Callithrix jacchus: one gene and its partners. The protein of the gene in region 2 purifies or fractionates together with the protein of the main gene of each other region. This does not show direct contact. Links are inferred from orthologs where the notes say so. Each region holds a gene or a part of one and is shown on either strand. Other genes may lie near its edges.

Region 1 (5,603 bases), about 8.7 Mb from region 2:
CGAAGTGTAGTCCCAGCACTAGGAGGCCGAGGCAGGCAGATCACTTGCAGTCAGGAGTTTGAGACTAGCTTGGCCAACATGGTAAAACCTTGTTTCTACCAAAAATACAAAAATTAGCCAGGCGTGGTGGCACACACTGGTAGTCCCAGCTACCTGGGAGGCTGAGGCTGGAGAATCGCTTAAACTCAGGCGGTGGAGAGTGCAGTGAGCTGAGATTGCGCCACTGCACTGTAGCCTGGGTGACACTAGAGTGAGACCCCATCTCAAAAATAAATAATAATAATAGCACACCCCTTCACTGAGTTTTGAGTGTCCTCATTTGGCAATACATTCTATGGTCGTTCGTTATCTATGCTCCACCTCTGAAATAGGGAATCCTTCCTTTCTTTCCCTGAATTGGAAAGATAAAGATTGTGAAGATAAAGAACTTAGATTCAGAAATCAGTGACAATACTTCTATAAATTGGCTGTGTGACCCCTGAGAAGTCATTCCATTTCATTTTTTTTTTTGAGATGGAGTTTCGCTGTTGTTACCCAGAGTGGAGTGCAATGGCACAATCTCGGCTCACCACAACCTCCGCCTTCTGGGTTTAAGCAATTCTCCTGCCTCAGCCCCCCGAGTAGCTGGGACTACAGGCACGCACCACCATGCCCAGCTAATTTTTGTATCGACAAGGGGTTTCACCTTGTTGACCAGGATAGTCTTGATCTCTTGACCTCGTGATCCACCCGCCTCGGCCTCCCAAAGCGCTGGGATTATAGGCGTGAGCCACTGTGCCCCGCCAAGTCATTCCATTTCTATTAAAAAATGACCAGCAGGGCCAGGTGAGGTGGCTCATGCCTGTAATCCCAGCACTTTTGGAGGCCAAGTCTTGTGTTCAGGAGTTCGAGACTAGCCTGACTAACGTGGTGAAATCCCATCTCTACTAAATTAGCCAGCCATGGAGGTGCGTGCCTGTAGTCCCAACTACACAGGAGGCTGAGGCAGAATTGCTTGAACCCAGGAGGCAGAGGTTGCAATGAGCCAAGATCGTGCCACTGCACACCAGCCCGGGCAACAGAGCAACACTCTGTCTCAAAAAAAAAAAAATACCAGCAGGTTGACTTTAGCCTTTCCAACTAATTCTCTAAGTAAGTTAGTAAAGTCACAGGACAGGAGCTTCCTAGGAGTAGAAGTATCAGATAATGACCGCATCACCATTTGTAAATGCAAGGAACACAAACAGGCTGATTGAAACCCGATCTCCTGCCGCCTGGAAGCTGGGAATCCCTCAGCCTATTACCTCCTTCCATCTCCTCCTGGCTTTTAAATTAAATCTTATTCCACAGTGACATTCTACACTTTATTTATTTACATGCTGCCCTGTTCCAGAAAGGATTTAACTTGGCTTATTCTATAGTTAGCCACAAGTAGACTCCTCAGGAAGAGGTGGACCTACTGGCCTACCCAGAGCACATCTGAATCTCACTGTATCAGCCCCGAGCTAATACACGCCACCAGCTTGGAGGGGAAACCACCCACCTGACCCCAAGAGGCACTAGTTAGCACCCCCGGCTTCACAGGCCACTGCACGGCCACCTCCTCGGCTGTGCCTTTTCTCTTTTAACCACCAAGTAGAAAAATGGCCTAATGAAGTACTTCTTCCTGAAAGCAGGACTCGCCTTTTAGTGGTGCCAAGGCTCCCTGGGTGACCTTAGATTCTGGATTGTACAAGCCTTGACGTGAAAGGTCTTTTGCGCTTTGTGCCTCCTGTCCTCTCATCTGTGAGATGAGAGCCATGTGCACCTTTAAGTCACACAGATTAATAAGTACATCTGCGGAAGCACCTTGGAAAAGATGCGTAAGAGGCTGTGACCCCTAAGCTCCAGCTGACTGTTTGAAGCTGGAGCCTGTCAGAGCTCAGCCCAGTCCACCCACCCCCAGACTAGGTCAGACCATCAAAAGCAATGGAAGCTTGGCACTGATTATCCAGCTATATAAAAGAAGAAAGGAAGAAGAAGAAGAAACAAGAAGAAAACTAGGCGCAGTGCCTCATGCCCGTGTAATCCCAGCACTTTGGGAGCCTGAGGCAGGTGGATCACAAGGTTAGGAGTTCGAGACCAGCCTGCCTAACATGGTGAAACCCTACTAAAAATACTAAAATTGGCCAGCTGTGGTGGCCTGTGCCTATAATCCCAGCATTTTGGGAGGACAAGGTGGGTGGATCACTTATAGTCCATAGTTCGCAACCAGCCTGGCTAACGTGGTGAAACCCCGCCTCTACTAAAAATACTAAAATTAGCCGGGCGTAGTGGCAGGCGCCTGTAATCCCAGCTACTCAGGAGGCTGAAGTTGCAGTGAAGTGCCACTGCACTCCAGCCTGGGCAACAGAGCAAGACTCTCTTTCAAAAAAAGAAGAAAAAGCGAAGAATTGCTGCAGTCAGTCAGCTGGAAATGGGCGGGCAAACCTGGGGAACTACTAATGCCTGCCTGGCTATGCCACCCCTCGGATCTCAGCGTGTATGTCCAAGCCCACAGAAGAGGGTGGGGAAAGGGAGCTGGGGAGACCAAGTTACTGCAAAGGGTAGCATCCTTCCCCGGGGGAGCTCAGGGATAGGGAGGTTGGGCCCCAACGAAGGAGGGAAATCAGGTTCCAGGGTATGTGCATTGGGGTAGAAAACCAGCAGCAATTGGTGGGGGGCAGGGTTATTGAAATATCGGCAGGTTGGGGAGGGGAGAGCCGGGAGACAGATGGGAAGATGGGGGAAGAGAGCGGTCTTGACAAGGGATTGACGGGTTTTCATAGGGAAAAAAGGTTACTGGAGGGGAGGGTCTTCACGGTGGGGGGAGAAGGGAGTTGGGGGAGAGGTCTCCATAGGGGAAATAGAAAATGGCTGGGATTTTCCCCGGGAAAAATGGGAAGGGGCTGGAGAGTGGGGTCTCCAGAGGGAAAAAGGGAGATGGGAGTATCTCACTATAGGAAAGAGTCTAAGTGGGCAAAAATGGGTGGGTGGCTGAAACAGGGGTCTTGCCACAGGGAAGCCACAGTGGCTGAAGATCTCCGTGGGTTAAGAAATAGAGGCCGAGAAGGTCTCTGCATGAAAATGGGTACCTCGGAAGAGCTCCAAAGAAAAAAGATGGATGAGGCTCCCCACGCTGGAAATGGGGCTTGGGTGGGGGGCGTTAATCTCTATGGGGAGGTTGGGGCGGGCAGTGGCGAAGATCACTGGGATGTCCGAGTTGGCTAGCGGGAAGCCTCCACCCGGGAGGTCAATGCGGGCAGTGGGGAAGGAAGTCCCGGGGAGGTCCAGGTTGGCTGGTGACTGGGGGGGGGGGGGTCTCCACCCGGACACCGGGTTGACTGGCGGGCTGGGGGAGATCGGGGTTAGCTGAGAGGGAGGACGAGGAGTTTCATGGGGGAGATCAAGTTGGCCATGAGAGCAGTTTTCCGCGGGGAGGCCGGGGTCGGCCCGAGGGTGGGGATTAACCCGCACAATCCCAGCCTCACCGTCCGCCAGGGCTTCACTGCACTCGAAGCTGATCTCGAACCGGAAGGGGCTGTGGAAAGGGCTCGGGTTCTCCAGTACCGCCACGTTCAACACCGACACCTTGGCCATCGCCTCGCCTCGCCTCACTGCGCTGCAGCAGGGGCAGGGGCAGGGGCTGTGGCCGAGGCCGCGTCTGGGTCCGGTGGTGAGGTCAGCGGGGTAGGGTTGACAAAACCCACTCCAAACTCTTCCCTCCGCGGACTGAAGTGCGCATCTCGTACGCGCGCCGCCTTCAAATAGCCGGCCTCCGCCCTCTGGCCAATCACCGCCAACGCTCCCTGGCGGCGCGCGCACCCTCTCAGCCAATCCTGGAGCGCCAGTCGGCGCGCGCCCAGACTCCTTGGACCAATCAGCGGAGCTCCCTCTCCGCGGAGCGTGAGGAGGGTGGAACCACCTCCAGGCTTCTTAGCGTGTCCTCTGGGAACCAATCCCCAGCGTCTCCGACTAGGAGGTCAACGGCAGGAGTGGACAGAGTCAGAGCGCCGGCCTCCTGCTGGCCAATCCTGAGGGTTCCCGCACCGGCGTGGCCCGCCCCTCGCCCCACTATTCCGGGATATGTATCCCGCAGCGCGCAGCGCCGCCAACCGCCGAGCGGTGGCGCGCGGTGCTCGCTAAAGAAGGCGGGAAGGGCGGTGCTCGCACCCCCAGTGATTGGCAGGAGGGAGTGGGGCGGAGATAAAGAGGGTTTTTTGAGAGTTGATTGGCTGGATTGGTAATGAAAGCGGGAGCCTAAGGAGGCTCAGCTGGGGATTAGTTGGAGAGAAGCGGAAGTGGGAGTTACCCTGGTGCCGGGGTGTGTGAAGAGAGAGGAGGAGCGTTTGCGGCCTCAGCGTCTGTTCAACAGGTGAGCGTCTGCTGGAGCTTTTCTGAGTGGCTGGCTCCTGACCTCGAGGTGCAGCAGCCCGGGTGTCCGTTGTGAACGTTGTGAACGTTCGGAGTGGCGGTCACGCGCCGCGCTCGGACCTCGGGAGTCTGGCCGAGTTTGGATCCCGTTCTTGCCCCCGAGGGGTTGGAATCCCTTTCTCGCCCCCTGGTGGGCTCTTGGGAGGTTTCAAGCGGACGGAACTGAAAATGGGAGTTCCAGTTCGAGTCGGTGCTCTGCTACTCGGCTTTCGAGGCAGCGTCTCCCTTCCCATTGAACGGGCCGTGGAAATTCCCTGGCATGACTCATGACCACATAATACATCCAGAAACTTCTCTCCGCCGCATCCCACCTGGGCCGTCGCCTGGGAGACTGTCCCACGGGAAATCAGCGCTGCCCAGTGGAAAAGTAATGCCTGCCGCGCACCTAATTATACATTTTTTGGAAGCCACTTAAAAAAAAACCGAGTCTCGCTGTGTGGCCCAGGCTGGAGTGCAGTGGTTCCATCTTGGCTCACTGCAACCTCCACCTCCCAGGTTCAAGAGACTCTCCTTCCTCAGCCACCCCGGAGTAGTTGGGATTACAGGCGCACACCACCATGCCTGGGTAATTTTTGTTTTTTCGTAGAGACGGAGTTTCTCCATGTTGGTCGGACTGGTCTCGAACCCCTGACCTCAAGTGATCCGCCCGCCTCAGGCTCCCAAAAGTGCAAGAATTACAGGCGTGAGCCACAGCTCTGAGCCGCTAACACACAGCGTGTTGCGTTCTTTTACCCAGTGAAAAGACGTTGAGATTCCTTGTGTTGTACACTCAGCTGCACGTCTGTCATCGGGCATGTGAATACATTTTCTTCAAAAAATCGTTGATCTGGTTTCTTATGTTTCATAAGGTTTGCAGTTGAAAATGTAGATTCACACATTCCTACTATTCTCGACGTACTTCAGAGTCTTCCACGAGCTCAATTTTTGTATTTTTTTTTTTTTTTGAGACGGAGTCTCACTCACCTACCCAGGCTGAAGTGCAGTGGTACGATCTCGACTCACTGCAGCCACCACCTCCCGGGTTCAAGCGGTTCTCCTGCCTGTCTCCTGAGTAGCTGGGATTACAGGTGTGCACCACCACAACCAGCTAATTTCGTGTGTGTATTTTTAATAGAGACAGGGTTTCACCATGTTGGCCAGGCTGGTCTTGAACTCCTGACTTCAAGTGATCT
Region 2 (5,081 bases):
ACAAAAAGGGAGCGTTTTGAGTGATGGAAACAGTGTGTATCTTCATTATGGTTAGCTGGCCCCGTAATCTGTCAATATGAAAGTCCTGAAAAGCATGTGTTTTATTGCATGTAAATTATATCTCAACAAACCTTGCTTAAAAAAAAAAAAAAAAGGGCCAGCACAGTAGCTCAGGACTGTAATCCCAGCACTCTGGGAGGCCAAAGACAGTGGATCACCTAAGGTCAGGAGTTCAAGACCAGCCTGGACAACATGGTGAAATCCTGTCTCTACAAAAAAATAAAAAACTTAGCAAGGGGTGGTGGTGGGCACCTGTAGTCCCACTATTAGGGAGGCTGAGGCAGAAGAATCACTTGAACCCAGGAGGTGGAGGGTGCACTGAGCCAACATGGTGCCACTGCACCCCAGCCTGGGCGAGAGTGAGACTCCGTCTCAAAAGAAAAAAAAATAATTTAGAGACAGGGTCTTACCGTGTCGCCCAGGCTGGTCTCCAACTGCTCTGTTTTTCTGAGATGGAATCTCGCTTTATCATGCAGCCTGGAGTGCACTGGCATGATCTTGGCTCACTGCAACCCGCTCCTCCCGAATTCAAGGGATTCTCCTGCCTCAGTCTCATGAGTAGCTAGGATTATAGGTGCCCACCACCACGCTCAGTTAATTTCTGTATTTTTACTGGAGACAAGATTTCACCATGTTGGCCAGGCTGGTCTCGAACTCCTGACTTCAGGTGATCCACTTGCCTTGGCCTCCCCAAGTGCTGGGATTACAGTCGTGAGCCACTGCACAAGGCCAAAAGGAGAAATTTCTGTATAACAAAAGACTCTGTAAACAAAGACGTAGTAGACTGAGATGAAATATCAGAGGATTAAATACCAGACTGTAAAAAATACTTGTATTACAGATCAGGCCAAAAAAAAGAGTCAGTTCTGTTAAAAAAAAAAAATAGGTAAAAAATAGGAATTGGCAAGTCACAGAAGAACTAAAATGGGAAACCAACACAAAAAAATGCTCCACTGCACCAAGAGTCAAGTAAAAATGGAAAGTAAAATAAGAATATCAATTTTTTTTAATCCATCAGACTGGCAAAGTTAAAATTCATTCCATCCATTAATATCACAGAATCAGGAAGAGACATTGTCAGGCACTGCCAGGCACGTACACCTGAGTTTTCCTGTCTGGCGGGCACTCTGGCCATGGCTAACAACGTTTCAGCAATGTGCTGTTTTGTCCTAGAGGTTGGCTGTCCCAGAGGACGCATGTGTGCAGAGAAGCATACTCAGGAACCCCTACTGTGCCACTGAGGGGCAGAGAAGCTGAGATAGCGGCAGGCTCTGTGGCTCATGCCTGTGAGCCCAGCACAGTGGGTGGCTAAGGTGAGAGAACTGCTGAGGCCAGGAGTTCAAGACCAGCCCTGGCAACACAGTTAGACCCCATCTCTACTACAAATAAAATTAGGGAGGCTGAGGTGAGCACATTATCTCACGTCAGGAGTTCGAGATCAACCTGGCCAAATTGGTGAAAACCGTGTCTACTGAAAATATAAAAAATTAGTGAGACACGGTGGCAGGTGCCTGTAATCCCAGCTACTAAGAAGGCCAAGGCAGGAGAACTGCTTAAACCCGGGAGGTGGAGATTGCAGTGAGCTAAGATCGAGCCACAGCACTCCAACCTGGGTGACAGAGCAAGATTCCGTCTTAAAAAAAAAATAAACAAATGAATAAATAAAATTTTAGGCCGGGCGCGGTGGCTCAAGCCTGTAATCCCAGCACTTTGGGAGGCCAAGGCAGGTGGATCACGAGGTCAAGAGATCAAGACCATCCTGGTCAACATGGTGAAACCCCATCTCTACTAAAAATACAAAAATTAGCTGGGCATGGTGGCAGGTGCCTGTAATCCCAGCTACTCAGGAGGTTGAGGCAGGAGAATTGCCTGAACCCAGGAGGCGGAGGTTGCGGTGAGCCGAGATCGCGCCATTGCACTCCAGCCTGGGTAACAAGAGCGAAACTCCATCTCAAAAATAAAAATAAAAAAGAGAGAGAGAGAAACCATGATATCATTGCATTATTAAGTATTATCCAACAGTGAAAATAAATGACATGGTCAGGCGCAGTGGCTCACGCTTGTAATCCCAACACTTTGGGAGGCCGAGGCAGGCAAATCATCTGCAGTTGGGAGTTCGAGACCAGCCTCATCAAAATGGAGAAACCCTGTCTGAACTAAAAATACAAAATCAGCCGGGCGTGGTGGCACATGCCTGTAATCCCAGCTACTCGGGAGGCTGAGGCAAGAGAACCACTTGAAACTGGGAGGTGGAGGTTGTGATGAGCTGAGATCACGCCACTGCACTCCAGCCTGGGCAACAAGAGCAAAACTCCATCTCAAAACAAACGAACAAACAAAAACAGTGCTCGCTTCAGCAGCACATAGACTAAAATCGGAACGATACAGAGAAGATGAGCACGGCCCCTGCACAAGGATGACACAAAAATTCGTGGAGCAGTCCATATGTTTTTTTAATAAAAGAGAAAGAAATGACGTGGGTCTGTGTTTGTCACTACGGAACGTGTAGGCACAACAATGTCATGTTGTGCACCTTCAAGATATGCAATTGTGAAGTATTTTGAGATACAAATAAAAGGATAGGCCAGGAGCAGGGGCTCACGCCTGCAATCCAAGCACTTTGAGAGGCCAAGGCTAGGAGAAGCTTTTGAGGCCAGAAGGTCAAGACTAGCCTGGGCAACACAGCAAAATCCCGTCTGTACAAAAAAATTTAGAAATTAGGCCGGGCGCAGTGGCTCATGCCCATAATCCCAGCACTTTGGGAGGCTGAGGTGGGCAGATCACTTGAGGTCAGGAGTTTGAGACCACACTGGCCAACATGGGAAAACGCTGTCTCTTCTACAAATACAAAAATTAGCTGTGCGTGGTGGTGAGCACCTGTAATTCCAGCTACTCAGGAGGCTAAGGCAGGAGATTCACCTGACCCCAGGGAGCCAAGACTGCGCCACTGCACTCCAGCCTAGGCGAGAGTGAGACTCTGTCTCAAAAAAAAAAAAAAAATTAGCCAGGTGTGGTGGCATATGCCTGTAGTCCCAGCTACTCCGAAGGCTGAGGTGGGAGGATCACCTGAGCCTGAGAGGTCAAGACTGTAGTGAGCTCTGACTGTGACGCTGCACTCCAGCCTAAGTGACAGTGTGTGACCCGGTCTCAAAAATAAATAAATAAACGGCAGATAGATACATTAAAAAGAATGAAATCCACCTAAATATGGCAATATGACACATACCCGAGACAGCTAAGTACACACATGTATGAACAGACAGTGAGTGGAGCAGGGAAAGGCACTGAAGGCCCGCTAACATCGGAGACAGGCTCCCTCTGGGTAAAAGGGACGGAGGGCTGTGGTTTCCACGCACAGATGGTGGCTCAGAAGGTCTGAGCTGTCAGGTGACCAACGCCAGGTGGGGAAAGTAAATCTTTGTGAATTCTACTGTTTTGCGGCTATGTTTGCCCCTCAAGCCTAAGTTTCCCAAGGGTAAAAACATGGTTAACTTCTCTTAACGCCTAACACAAAATTACTCAGAAGCAGCCTCTGAAAACAGCACTTTTTAATCAGACACGCCACTTTTTACCTTTTTTGGGTCAAAGCGAAGACAAAATATTGAGCCTCAAGAGTTTACCAAAACGAACTTTCCTGGCTTACCAGAGGCTCCGTGCCTCATGATCAGAGAAGCTGGCTGGTGCCAGATCCTTTCAATTTCAGAGAGAAAACAGCCGAAACTGGAAAGCAAAGGCAGCCGGCTGCTCACCTTGGGGGCCTGTGGAGTCTTTGGTTTCTGGAAGAACCTGGTGATTTCAGCCTTCTCTGCTTTAATACGCTGTGATGTAAGAGAAAATGATGAGAAAGAAGAGCGGAAAAGACACGGTGCACGCTTCAAAACATGCAAATGTCCCCCAGCACCAAAACTCAAGCATGTTATCTCAAAGGCTCTGCTGTGATTTTTTTAGCTCTCAAAACCCACAGACCCGCAACCATGCCAGCCAGTCTCAAAATGTCCGAGTTGCCCTTGTGGGTGGAAGTGCCAGGGTATGGGGCCAGTAGGCGTGTGACAGACCAGCACTGAGAAGAAGCGAAAGGATGCATCTAGAGATTCGTCCCTCCTGGGGGCGCCATTTGGTTTCCTCAAACCAAGAGAACGTTAAGACGACAGCTGTGGCTAGAATTCCACCTTGTGCATCTGCTTCAACGGGCTGGGATGGGGAAGTTCTGAAGGAAACACGCTACCTTCTCCTCCTCTCTTAACCGTTTCTCTTCTTCCTTTTTCCTTTTCTCCTCAAGTTTGGCCCTGTGAGACAGCAAATGACATTTCAGCTGACTCTTTGCTACGTTCTGGAAGGGACCACGGTACGCAGCTGTTAGTAAATGGCAAGTATTTAACTTTGCAGCAACGAATATGTTACTTCCACGTTACTATAAAGCTATAACGTAGGCCTTCACAATAAAAACGACAAATAGACAATGAAACTCTTCCTGCGACTAGAATATATATATATAAAAGACTTTAGCCAGCCGATGCAAAATTACCACAAACAAAACCCATATTCCTGCGATGCAAATGCCTCAGTTGGTTGGGAACTGGAAGGACAGTCACAGGCAGAGACAAGGGGCCCAGGGTGAGTGGACATGGGGGAGCACAAAAGAGCAGGGAGCTGCTTTCCACTGCTCCCACGTCGGGGACGCACGTGCAGCTCACACAGGAGAAACAGAAAGGAACTGATGGCAGCCCCAGTCTGCCTGCGAAACACCAAAGGCCCATCAGAGCGGCCAGAAGTGGAATCCAGCAGCGGGGAGGTAGGCCCAGCACGGACGGCTGAGGGCACTCACTCCAGGGCTTCCTGCCTCTCCTTGCGCCGCTCTTCCTTAAGCCGCTGCTTCTCTGCCTTCTCCTTCTCATCCTTCTCCCGTTTCTCCCGCCTCTCCTTTTCCTTCAGCTCCTTCTCTTCCTCCTTCTTCTTCTTGGCCTCTTCCTTGGCCCGCTTGGCCTCCTCTTTCAGCTTCTCCTTTTCTTCTCTTTCTGCAC
Region 3 (5,870 bases), on a different chromosome or scaffold from region 2:
TCCACTAAAAATAACAAAAAATTAGCTGGGCATGGTGGCGAGTGCCTGTAATCCCAGCTGCTCAGGAGGCTGAGGCAGTAGAATTGCCTGAACCCGGGAGGCGGAGGTTGCGGTGAGCCGAGATCGCACCATTGCACTCCAGCCTGGGTAACAAGAGCGAAACTCCATCTCAAAAAAATAAAATTAAAATAAAGTAATAAAGTCACCTTCTCCTGCTAGAAGTTCTATTCACTTGCTGACTGGATAGGTGAAAAGAGAGTAAAGCAGAAAGTTTAAAACACACGCACGCACACACGCGCACACACACACACACACACATCTGAGGTGAAGAAAGATGAAGGAAACCTTGATCAGCTCCATTTTCTGCCAGGTAGGAGAGAATTTTCTTTATCCAACAAATGTTGATTGATAACTTTATGCAAGGGACTGTGTTGGGCACTGGAAGTATAGTGGTGACAATACAAGGCAGAGTTTCTATTTACGGGAGTTTTGAGTCCAGAAGCGAAGACAGACTTTAAGGACAAGAAAGTGGGTGAATGTCATGATGGCAGTCTAAATTTTCATATTAATGAGATTTGGGACAACAATCTAGTTGAAATCAGAAAAACCAGAACATATCTCAAACGATAACAAACAAGGTTTTTTCCTAATTGTGTGTTTCTTTGGGATGACTGGGTGAAAGGTGTGCATGGAGGTTAAAGGGTCGGCACTAATGCCAATGAAAAAGGGGACATTTTCGTGGTGCACCCAATGATTAGGTGGAAATTCAGGAAGCTATGAGACACCTATGGGGGACTCTAGGGAATCAGGGAAGGCCTCAAAGGGGAATTAATCTTTTTTCTTTTTTTTTTTTTGAGACAAAGTGTCACTCTGCCACCCAGGCTGGAGGGCAATGGCATGATCTCGGTTCACTGCAACCTCCACCTCCCGGGTTCAAGCAATTCTCTGCCTCAGCCAACCAAGTAGCTGGGATTACAGGCACCCACCACCATGCCCAGCTAATTTTTGTATTTTTAGTAGAGACAGGATTTCACCATCTTGGTCAGGCTGAACTCCTGGTCTGGTGATCCACCAACGTTGTCCTCCCAAAGTGCTGGGATTACAGGCGTGAGCCACTGCACCCAGCCAGGGGAATTAATCTTAACACTGAGTAGGTTTTTTTTTTTAGATGGAGTTTTGTTTGTTGCCCAGGCTGGAGTGCAATGGTGCGATCTCAGCTCACTGCCACCTCCGCCTCCTGGGTTCAAGCAATTCTCCTGCCTCAGCCTCCCAAGTAGCTGGGATTACAGGTGGCACCACCATGCCCAGCTAATTTTTGTACTTTTAGTGGAGACGGGGTTTCACCATGTTGGCGAGGCTGGTCTTGAACGCCTGACCTCAGGTGATCCACACACCTCGGCCTCCCAAAATGTTGGGATTATAGGCTTGAGCCCCCGCACTCCGCCTTAAGAGGAGTTTTGCAGAGATTTGAGGAGGCGGAGATTGAGGACTACAGAAACGGTTGGAAATTTGAGGAGGCGGAGATATAATAAAGTTCTGGTTAAGAACATAAGATTAAAAAATTCAAGGATGTGAATTACCTAACTGTCCAGAAGTGGTTGATTTTTTGGGCCAAGCATCAAAGGGCTCATTTATAAAAATCACATGTCCTGGTCGGGTGCAGTGGCTCATGCCTGTAATCCCAGCACTTTGGAAGGCCGAGGCGGGCGGCTCACGAGGTCAAGAGATCGAGACCATCCTGGCCAACATGGTGAAACCCCGTCTCCACTAAAAAATACAAAAATTAGCTAGGTGTGGTGGCGCGCGCCTGTAGTCCCAGCTACTCGGGAAGCTGAGGCAGGAGAATTGCTTGAACCTGGGAGGCGGAGGTTGCAGTGAGCCAAGATCGCGCCGCTGCACTCCAGCCTGGGGACAGAGCGAGACTCCGTCTCAAAAAAAAAAAAATTATGTTCTAATTTTCTAGGTTACAACGCTCAACGCTGCAGTCGCTCCGCCGTTACAGTTTAAAACCTCGAAGTCCCTACCACCCTCGCCTACTGTGCGTGCGCAGCGCGCGGCACTTCGGGCCCTGTAGTCTTGGACTGATCCCGCGGACCAGGGTGCCATGCGGCGGGTCGCCGCGCCTGCGCGGTGCGGGCGGCGGGCAGAGCAGAGTGCGAGGCTCTTTTGTTCGGTTGAGGGGAGGGCCCTTGGCCTGGGCCTGCGGTACGCCGCTCCAGTGAGGTGCTCCATTGCGGCCACCGGGCTTGCTGCCTTCCTGGGCGCCACTCCCCCGGCCGACCCGACACGACGCGCCAGCAGCGCAGCACCGATTCCTCTCCGGCTGTTAGGCGCTGCTCTGAGGTGAGGAGCCCGCTGGAGGCGGGAGAGCTGGGGGAGGGGGCACGGTGGCGGCGGCGGCGGGAGCCCTGCGTGGGGGCCCGCGCTTTCGAGGCAGAGGTTGGGGGCGGGGAGCGGGGAGCGCGCCCGGGTCCAGCGTCCTGTTTTTCCACTTCCCGCGCTGAGCTCTCCGCCTGGCGCTGAGGCGTCGTTGCCAGCTGCGAGAAGGATGGGGAGGGCGGGGCGCGAATCCTGAGCCAGAGACTGAAGCTCTTCAGGGTGGGCCGAGCAGTTGGGGACCGCTTTTCCGGGCCCGCGTAGTCCGGGACAATGCTGCTTGGGTTGGGTGGGCGTCTGGGGATAGGGCTGGAGAGAAAACACCTTACAAGATTGGGAAGGGGACAGGCTTGAGGCTTGGATAGGTGTGGGGAGGAGCTGACGACCGCGAGACCCGAGGTTTGTAACTGTAATCGGAGGACGCCGGGTCCCGCCGGGGCTGCCAGAGAAACCTGGCTTTGCAGGACTACGGAAGAGTAACTTGGAGTTAATTGGAAAGAGGGCCCTGGGCCGCACAAAGTGTGCCGATTGGTGGAGGAGATGGAATAAATTGGGAAGGGGGGCACGGAGGGGGAGGGGCAAGCGTTTGCTGGGCCTGGCTCTGGAGGGGGAGGAGCTGTTAGGATATGTAGGGCGGAGATCCGGAGAATATTTCTGTAAGGTGTGTAAGGGAAAAGGGGAAAGCAGGCCGCCCTTGCTTCCTGATGGGTCCTTTCAGTGGGGAGGCTGTAAAATAATACGTGAAGAAAGGATTGAATACGCTTTCTTCACTTTTCCAGGTTTCCTACTGCCTTTGCTCCATGATTCCTTTGGGGAGTTAAGTCCAAGTGCAGCTCTTGCTTTGATTCAAAGTTAGTTCCATAAGTTTTTGTCTGGGATCGTTACTGGTCTCACAAAGGTGATAAAATTGTAAAATGCGTAGGTGAGTTAACAGTTAAGGAATGGAGTGAGGTAGTGATGACATCGTGTAAGGTAGGAGAAATTGGGAGACAGGAAGAGCAAGTATGTGAGATTGTGAGATAATACTTGTTTAGTGGGCCCTTCTGTTTTTTAGCCAGGTTTTCCTTTTTGGAAACTTTGAATACAGAGTGAGCAGTATTTTACCTCTTTTCCAACTATTTAGATGAGGGTTTTTCGTGAATTGATGTTACATTTAGACTTGTGTTGGTTTAAGTCAGTTGAGGTGGAATTTACAAAAAGATAGCTATAATCTGTTATACTAGAACCTCTAGCCTAGGGTAAAGTAGCCTTCTCAGTTGTGTTAAGAATCACACCAGCAGTTTGGAAAAATTGTGAAAGGTCCAAGGCTTTGGAATAGATTCAGGAATACAATGGGGAAATTAATGCCGGTGTTCCTCCTTAGGTGCCTTACAGACTTTTATAGGAAAGTGGTGAGATTGAAAATCCCTTGTATTGAAACCAGTTGCACCTTAATGAAGCTTCAGGGCAGCGGAGGACCTGAAGTCATTTACGATTTTCCCTGTGGTAATATTTTTCTTCAATGGCTGCTGTTATTCTAAATTATTTTTCACTAAAAATGTAAATAATGGGGCCGGGGATGGTGGCTCACGCCTGTCATCCCAGTACTTTGAGAGGCTGAGGTGGGCAGATCACCTGATGTCAGGAGTTTGAGACCACCCTGGCCAACATGGTGAAACCCCGTGTCGACTAACAATACCAAAATTAGCCAGGTGTAGTGTGCACACACCTGTAGTCTCAGTTCTTCGGGTGGCGGAGGCAGGAAAATAGCTCGAACCTGAGGCAGAGGTTACAGTGAGATGAGATGGCACCACTGCACTCCAGCCTGGCAACAGAGGGAGACTGTCTCAAAAAAAAAAAAAAGAAATAGTTTTGAATGTAAATAGAAGCCTAGTGCTTATAGCTTCCATATTAAAGGAGACCAAGTAAGGTACCCTAGTCTTCTGCATTTTATAAACCATATCTCCAAAGAAAAGAAGCAATCACTCTTGTGCCCATTTTAAGGACTAGGAAAATGTTTCTTTTTGTTGTTCACACCATTTGAAAAGAATTCCTTAAATTTTGGCATACTCTAGTGGTTTATCTAGCAAAACCTCCCTTTTTAAAAAATATCCTGGCTGGGCACGGTGGCTCAAGCCTGTAATCCCAGCACTTTGGGAGGCTGAGGCGGGTGGATCACGAGGTCAAGAGATCGAGATCATCCTGGTCAACATGGTGAAACCCCGTCTCTACTAAAAATACAAAAAATTAGCTGGGCATGGTGACGCGTCCCTGTAATCCCAGCTACTCAGGAGGCTGAGGCAGGAGAATTGCCTGAACCCAGGAGGCAGAGGTTGCGGTGAGCCGAGATCGCGCCATTGCACTCCAGTCTGGGTAACAAGAGCGAAACTCCGTCTCAAAACAAACAAACAAAAAAATATCCTATCTGCGGTGGTATAAGAGATTTTCCATTAGATTTGGTAGATTTTCACTTCATAGGTTCTTTCCATAAAGAGTTTTTGGAGTAGAAGGCTAATTGCTAGTTTATGGACTCCCATAAAATGGGCCATACCTCTTGTTCATCAGTGCCTGCCACATAGTAGGCTGTTCAGATTGTTGATGCATGGGGGGGCGTTGAGATCCATTCTCAGAACTCTGTGTTAGCCAAATTAATGTGCATTTACATATTTAGTAGTTTGCTTGTCTTATTATCTGTGACATTTGGCAGAGTTAAACTGTTGTCTTTGGCATGCTTGTCTTAGCCTCAGTTTCTTTTTTGTTGTTGTTGTTGTTGTTTTTGTTTTTTTAGACAGGGTCTCACTCTGTTGCCAGGCTGGAGTGCAGTGGTGGTATCATGGCTAATTGCAGCCTCACAAGCAATCCTCCCACCACAGCCTCTTGAGTAGCTAGGACTACAGGCTCATGCCACCATGCATGGCTTCTTTTTTTGTAGAGACAGTCTCTGTTGCCCAGACTGATTAGCCTCAGTTTTGTACTCACTCTGGTACTAAATATAGTAGAAGTATACAGACTGTGCAGTTGGCCATTTTAAATACCTTAGGCCTCAGATTCTGGGTTTCATCAGCAAGCAAAATAGCTTGAATATATCTGTTTTAAAAGAATCTTGAAAAATCTTTGTGTCCTTTATATTGACCTGAGTAGTAATATACCAGTAGTGATGTCTGTTGAAAAACTGAATAGCACCTGGCGCAGTTGGCTCATGCCTATAATCCTAGCATTTTGGGAGGCCAAGGCGGGTGGACCACCTGAGGTCAGAAGTTTAAGACCAGCCTGGCCAACATGGCGAAACCCCGTCTCTACTAAAAATACAAAAAAAATGGCCGGGCACAGTGGCTCACACCTGTAATCCTAACACTTTGGGAGGCCAGGGCTGGCAGATCAGGAGGTCAAGAGATTGAGACCATCCTGGCCAACATAGTGAAACCCCGTCTCTACTAAAATACGAAAGTTAGCTGGATGTGTGGTGCATGCCTGTAGTCCCAGCTACTTGGGAAGCTTAGGTAGGAGAATTGCTT

What was found. Proteins that work in one complex are often made in the same cells at the same time.
Region 1: the proteins of CHAF1A (region 2) and ASF1B purify together in Homo sapiens (co-immunoprecipitation; 7 studies listed by BioGRID and IntAct, counting the BioPlex papers as one, with this or other methods). This does not show direct contact. The link is inferred for Callithrix jacchus from reciprocal best matches to the Homo sapiens genes CHAF1A and ASF1B.
Region 3: the proteins of CHAF1A (region 2) and CBX1 purify together in Homo sapiens (affinity purification with mass spectrometry; 4 studies listed by BioGRID and IntAct, with this or other methods). This does not show direct contact. The link is inferred for Callithrix jacchus from reciprocal best matches to the Homo sapiens genes CHAF1A and CBX1.

Annotation. Positions count from the first base shown.
Region 1 is NC_133523.1:12,909,897-12,915,499, forward strand, and holds the start of ASF1B (histone chaperone ASF1B), read right to left. Parts: upstream 3,739-5,603; 5' UTR 3,598-3,738; coding exon 3,489-3,597; intron 1-3,488. UniProt on the Homo sapiens protein: Histone chaperone that facilitates histone deposition and histone exchange and removal during nucleosome assembly and disassembly. Cooperates with chromatin assembly factor 1 (CAF-1) to promote replication-dependent chromatin assembly.
Region 2 is NC_133523.1:4,174,097-4,179,177, reverse strand, and holds part of CHAF1A (chromatin assembly factor 1 subunit A), read right to left. Parts: coding exon 4,886-5,081; intron 4,347-4,885; coding exon 4,286-4,346; intron 3,879-4,285; coding exon 3,810-3,878; intron 2,512-3,809; exon of another isoform or gene 2,405-2,511; intron 1-2,404. UniProt on the Homo sapiens protein: Acts as a component of the histone chaperone complex chromatin assembly factor 1 (CAF-1), which assembles histone octamers onto DNA during replication and repair.
Region 3 is NC_133506.1:118,186,032-118,191,901, forward strand, and holds the start of CBX1 (chromobox protein homolog 1), read left to right. Parts: upstream 1-2,132; 5' UTR 2,133-2,343; intron 2,344-5,870. UniProt on the Homo sapiens protein: Component of heterochromatin. Recognizes and binds histone H3 tails methylated at 'Lys-9', leading to epigenetic repression. Interaction with lamin B receptor (LBR) can contribute to the association of the heterochromatin with the inner nuclear membrane.